2 linked regions of the Macaca mulatta genome follow. The protein of the gene in region 1 purifies or fractionates together with the protein of each later gene. This does not show direct contact. Links are inferred from orthologs where the notes say so. Each region holds a gene or a part of one and is shown in the gene's direction. Other genes may lie near its edges.

What was found.
Region 2: the proteins of FBXW5 (region 1) and SKP1 purify together in Homo sapiens (affinity purification with western blotting; 16 studies listed by BioGRID and IntAct, with this or other methods). This does not show direct contact. The link is inferred for Macaca mulatta from reciprocal best matches to the Homo sapiens genes FBXW5 and SKP1.

What each region holds. Positions count from the first base shown.
Region 1 is NC_133420.1:5,525,999-5,528,432, forward strand, and holds the end of FBXW5 (F-box/WD repeat-containing protein 5), read left to right. Parts: coding exon 1-264; intron 265-632; coding exon 633-780; intron 781-853; coding exon 854-1,066; intron 1,067-1,144; coding exon 1,145-1,388; 3' UTR 1,389-1,893; downstream 1,894-2,434. UniProt on the Homo sapiens protein: Substrate recognition component of both SCF (SKP1-CUL1-F-box protein) and DCX (DDB1-CUL4-X-box) E3 ubiquitin-protein ligase complexes.
Region 2 is NC_133411.1:143,076,650-143,080,566, reverse strand, and holds the start of SKP1 (S-phase kinase-associated protein 1), read left to right. Parts: upstream 1-1,644; 5' UTR 1,645-1,744; exon of another isoform or gene 1,745-1,913; intron 1,914-3,917. UniProt on the Homo sapiens protein: Essential component of the SCF (SKP1-CUL1-F-box protein) ubiquitin ligase complex, which mediates the ubiquitination of proteins involved in cell cycle progression, signal transduction and transcription.

The sequences.
Region 1 (2,434 bases):
GCATCTTTGACCTGGGCGGCGACAACGAGGAGGAGGTGGCTGGCCCGGCCCCCGCCCATGCCAAGGAGGGCTTGCGGCACTTTCTGGACCGCGTGCTGGAGGGGCGGGCGCAGCCACAGCCATCGGAGCGCGTGCTAGAGACCAAGGTGGCCGAGCTGCTGGCCCAGGGCCACACCAAGCCCCCTGAGCGCAGTGCCACAGGCGCCAGGAGCAAGTACCTCATCTTCACCACTGGCTGCCTCACCTACTCCCCACACCAGATCGGTACACCCCTGCCGCCATGCTGCCCGCCTCGGTCCTAGCAGCTTGGGGGAGGCCGGGCAGGGGTCCTGGGGGGCAGACGGCAAGCAAGTTCACAGGCACAGCTGGGATCATTCACTCACCCCGGGGTCACAAGCCCAGACCTGGCCTCGTCTGGGGTCTGCGGGATGAGCGGTGAAAACAAACAGGCAGGCCCGCTGGCCAGTGAGCAGCTGAGGGGCCTGATTCAGGTCTGGGGCCCCCGGAGCAGGCAATGCCCGCAGACCTCTGCGGTGCCCACAGCCCCAGAGACACTGTTGGGGTAGGGGGCTGTCCTGGAGTGACGTCCCCGGGGCACTGGGCAGGGACCCTCACCGCAGCCCTCCCTGCAGGCATCAAGCAGATCCTGCCACACCAGATGACAACGGCGGGGCCCGTGCTGGGCGAGGGCCGGGGCTCTGATGCCTTCTTCGACGCGCTGGACCACGTCATAGACGTGCACGGGCACATCATTGGCATGGGCCTGTCGCCCGACAACAGGTGGGCCTCTTGCCAGTGTCCCAGGCGGGGTGCCCGCAGGTGGCCCATACCTAGCACAGTGCCCCTCGCCCAGGTACCTGTATGTGAACAGCCGCGCCTGGCCCAGTGGTGCGGTGGTGGCTGACCCCATGCAGCCGCCACCCATCGCGGAGGAGATTGACCTGCTGGTGTTCGACCTCAAGACCATGCGGGAGGTGAGGCGGGCTCTGCGTGCGCACCGCGCCTACACGCCCAACGACGAGTGCTTTTTCATCTTCCTGGACGTCAGCAGGGACTTCGTGGCCAGGTGCAGGGCGCAGCGTGGTGCAGGGCGGGCGTGGGCGCAGCAGGCGGGCGACCGGCTCATCCAGGCGCTGTTCTGCAGTGGGGCGGAGGACCGGCACGGCTACATCTGGGACCGCCACTACAACATCTGCTTGGCCAAGCTGCGGCACGAGGACGTGGTCAACTCAGTGGCCTTCAGTCCCCAGGAGCAGGAGCTGCTGCTCACGGCCAGCGACGATGCCACCATCAAAGCCTGGCGCTCCCCACGCACCGTGCGCGTCTTCCAGGCACGTCGTCCGCGGCCTCGCGCCTTCTTCTCCTGGCTTGCCAGCCAGAGGCGCTGAGGGGTGCTGCAGGGTGCACTGGAGCCGCTGGGACCCCTCGACGCCACCCAGGCTCTGTGGTTCTTTCCCGAGCGGGAGAGGTGGAGACGCTTGTAGCAGTTACGCCTTAGGAAGGGGACAGCCAGGCCCCGCCACGCTCTCACACGCAAACCTGCTCACGCAGCTGTGATGCTTGGCACAGGGTGGCCAGTGAGGTTGGAAGCCAAGGTCCCCTTGGCCTCCTGGCCAGCTTGGGGTGCACAGGATACTGGGGGTGCCGCTCCTCGCTCATCCCTAGGCTAGGGGTTCACCCGCCCCAGCTGGCCTCAGCCTGGGGCACCCTCGGCTGGTCCTGCGGGGCCCTGGACAGTGGCCCAGCAGTGGCAGAGGCTGCTGGCTCTGGCAGCCTGGCTGTGGTTGTGCGCCCGGGGCTTGGGAGCGGCCAGTCACACTGCTGTGGGCCCGAGTGTGTTGCATGTCCACGCACCACCCGTTCAGGGCCCTGAATAAACAGTTGGCAACAGCACGTTGTTGTTCAGTCTCTGTCTGCAGGGAGGGAGACCATGGGCCCCACTGGCACAGTGGAGCGGATCTCGTCACTACTGACGGGTGACGTCACCGCTGGCATAGTGGCCCCACTGGAGTGGTTGTTGCAGTCACTGCTGACAAGTGACATGTGCGTCTGAGGTCATGTACTGGTGCCAGACTTTGTCACACTGCCCTGTCCCCCCTCTGTGACATCCAGGGAGATGCCTGGCACATCTGCCGGGGCTGGCAGCATGGAGGGCCTGCTGATTCCAGGGTCAGTAGGCCGCGTCGCTCCCAGTGCCAGGGCAGCCTCCACAGTCAGTCCCGTCCTTGAGGGAGTGCCTCGGCTGCTGGGGGCAGGGAGGGTGTTGGGCAGAGCTCCTCAGAGTTCATGCCGAGGAGGAAGGGACCAGGGGCCCAGAAGTGGCAGCAGAGGTGCAGCTCCAGCTGGACGTTGCAGGCTTTGTCAGAGCTGCACCGGAGCTCAGGGGGCCCAGGGTGATGGTGGTGACAAGACGGCAGGAGGAGAGCCTGGCATC
Region 2 (3,917 bases), on another chromosome or scaffold:
CTACTGAGTTCAAGTGATCTGCCCACCTCGGCCTCCCAAAGTGCTGAGATTACAGGTGTGAGCCTCCATGCCCGGCCCCGAAATCTCTTTTAAAAGTAGGCATTTCTTGGTGATTCTAATAAAGGGGGTTCTCAGACATATTTGGAAAAGCATATACCTACTTTTACGCCAGACCCTGTGCTGGGGCCCCAGGCTAGCTGTATGACCTGACACTGCACAGTCCTGCTTAGGATGCTCAAGGAGAGTTTATAAGGTATCACCCTGCATACCATAGGCAGGGGAGCAAAGGGGCTCCAGTGGGCCCTGCCTAGGAGGCCTGAAGCTGGAGCTGCTGAGGGCAGGGCTGTGCTGCTGAGAAAATATCTGAGAGCTGCAGGCGTTTCATCTTCTGTCATCAGCTGTGGCACCTGGCAGACACTGGATACCACAGCTTGTAGACAAAGACCTGGTAACTCAAGAAGCTGCTTGGCATTCCTGCCCAGTCCCATCCCAGAGGCACTGTACGTCTCCGGTTTCTTCAGGGGGCCCTGTGTGGAAGTATCTTTTGTCTTCCTGTGTCAGGGATACCATCACGTGCCTATTGGCTAGACGAGCCCGGCGCCCAGTCTCCTAGGACAGGGAGAATAACGTTCCCGAGCAGAGCGGGGTGGGGCTTTCAGACTACTCCCGTTCCTTTACTGCAGGCTTCATTCCATCGACCTCATCACAGCCTTCCTGGGAGCACCCCAGACAAGAGTTCTGTCCAGGCCGGGCCCTGGCTGCCTGGTTCACTGCCGAATCCCCAGCACCACGCCTCGCATGTCGGGCTCAGAGCATGTTTAGTGAAGGAATGGGTACCTATTGCTAGATGGAAGCCATCTCTCTAGATTTGGGGTTTCCCTACGACGATGGCTATTTTTGGCACGGAAGCCTCTTTAGAAGTCAATAGTAGGAAATAAGGGCTAACGGCACCTAACTGTGGAGTAATGTTCAAATCCTGGCTCTGCCACTTAACCGTTCCGAACCTGTTCCCTCACTGCAGAGGCGAAAAGGCTAACACTATTTCACCTCGGAGGGTTACTGTGGAGAATGGAGGCTGGACAAGCTGTATCAGTTCAGTAGTAAAACACACACACACAAGCGCCCCCCCATCCCCACCCCAGGAATGAACACACACACACCCGCGCGCGCACACACATACACCTCAGGAATGAACACACGCGCGTACACACACACGCAGCCCCTCCCAGGAATGAACACACACACACACGCGCGCGCGCCCCGTTCTGTTGTTCCCAGGAACACACACATAGGCGCACACACGCCCCGTTTTGTTTTTTCCAGGCCGTTTAGCTGGGGTATTTTACTCGGCTTAGGGCGCCCCTGCCTGAAAGACCTTTCTAGGCCAGTCAGGGTTCGGCACCCAGTTGATGAGAGAGCGCGGCGCTTTCAGAGCTAGGGAAAGGCGAAAGCTCTCCCGTTCCCCAACCCCCCGGCCAGCCGCCCCGGCAGCTCCTCGTCGCCTCCCGGCCTGGGCCCGCCCCGCCGTCTTCGGCCTGCCGTCAGGCGATCTCGGCGGCCAGCCCAGCCGCTGTGTGACGCCGCGCGCCCCGGGGTCCTCGGCGCCTGCGCCCTCTCCTATAAAGCAGACGCCGCGCCGCGCCGAGAGGCTGTAGTGGCTTCGTCCTCCGCTTTTCTGTTCCTCCGCTGACGTCTCCTAGCTCTCGTCAGCCTCCCGCCGGCAGTCTCCTTAACACCGAACACCGTGAGTAGCCGCCCACTGAGCTGGAAAGGGTCGTGGCTCCCGGATTGCATGCAGGCTGGCCTCACTGCTGCGGTTTGGGCCTGCCCGCGGCGGGCGGTGACTGGGCCTGGCCTTCTTTCGGGCCCGGTGGATCGTGTTGTCGACCCCGTTCTTCGGGAGACACCATCAGGTCTCGTCCACCCTCTCCGCCCCCGATTCAGCGAGGCCTGCTCTGGCCGCGCGTCCTCACAGCGCTCCATAAGTGTGAGCCGAACCCCGGGCTGGGCTTTCTCTGCACCGGCCGAGCGTCAGCCGGCGCAGGCTCGGCTGCAAGGCCCAGGCTATGGCCGGGGGCCTCTCTTGGCCTTAAGCCTGCTGTCCCGGGGACTAGGGCGGGGGTGGCGGCGGGGTTGTGAATGGGGGTCCCTTGGCTGTCGTGAGCATGGGCGTGTGTCGGTGTCTGGCTTTTGTTGTGGTCGGGAGGGAGAGCTGCGGTGGTGGTCTGAGGCCGCCCGGTTCTTGGCTGCCATCCTTTCTCCCCCGTGTCTGGCGTCACTAGCTACCCGTCGGTCCTGGCTAACTGTGTGCGGGCGCCGAGTTTCTGCACATAGCCGCCTGTTCCTTGTAAATATTTCTTCGCGTTGTTTTGCTATGACTTGGAGTCGTTGAAATAACTATTGTGATAGCAGATACCATCTTCAGAGTGGTGTGACTTGTAAGAGCTGTGTATAACTTAACTCGAAGTGTCTGGCTTTTAAAGAAATAGGATGTCCAGCTGCTTTGGTTCACTTTTAGTGGGAACTTCACGTTTGGGTTTTAGGAACATGCATTTTTCCATTAGAGCGTCACAATAGAATGTATCTGTGTCATAGAACAATAGTCTCCTCCACTGTGCAGTCTAAAAAGCAGTGGCAGAATTTCGGGTCACTTAAAACGCAGGGGTTTTTTTCCCTTTATGATGTGATAGAACCCACTTTATGCTGGCCATGGAGAATTATTTACAAGTGCAGGAGCCTTTAGGCCTCTTTCTTTAGAATGGAATTGTTTTGAAAACATTTCAAATCAAAATTTCATCCATTATTACTTAAAAATTTTGCACTTTATTCTACTGTAACACTAAAACTTATCTTTTAGTTTAGTATTACCAAGTGCATCGAATTACAGATTTAACCGATTACCTACCTGCTATTTAGTAAGATCTCAACTCCCTTAAGAGTAACCCAATCCACGAATTTGACTATGACTAAGCACTTGAGTTATTTGAAAGAAATATGAAACGGTCGTCTTGCTTTTAGAGTAATTTTATCAACTGCATTGTTAGACTTGTGATTCTGCACTGTTCATTTCAGTACTATCTGATATAAAAATTACATGTTTAAATGTTTTATAATTAAAAATTGGACTCACGTTAAAATATTTTCTTTTGGAGATACCTTTTATTGTTGTCTTGTCACAGGAAGGGTCCTCTACTCTGGGTCCTTCTTCATTGAGCAGGGACAACGGCATTATTGGCAAGCGCTAAGCAACATGGAGAAGCAGACATGTTTGTGAATTGCAAAGTGAAATCTGATTCTCTCCAACCATGGATGAGTGAGAGTAGGATATTTCAGTGGCTGGTTTTAAAACACGCTTTACTTTTTTGCTTCCTTTGCCTAAGAACCTGTTTGCTTTGGGGTTGCGGACAATTGTCTCAGAGAAGCTGAATGAATATTTTAACCGATGTAATGGGTCATAAGTCTTTGAACATAAAATGGGTGTGATGCATGTTTTAAATGCCAAATGATACACTTTTGTGAAAATATATGCGATTTTTAATACAACACACCTAGAAAACTTCAGAGGTACCATAAGTTAATAGTGACATCATTGGATTATGAATACTTGAGAAGCATGGGCCTTTTAAAAGTTGTATGTGAATTTTAAGAGGCCTTGAATTAATCTGTACCAGGTATTGCTACTCTTTTTGTTGTTGTTTTTCTTTTATGTATGTTTTCTTTTTTAAAAAAAGAATTTGAAGATGGTAAGAAATTGTTGGACTTTTAATTTTAAATTCCTTTTTTTTTTTTTTTGCCAGAACTCAAGTCCTTTGGAATTAATTGCTTAACTTTTTTTTTTGACACGGAGTCTTGCTCTGCCACCCAGGCTGGAGTACAGCGGCGCGGTCTCGGCTCACTGTAAGCTCTGCTTCCTGGGT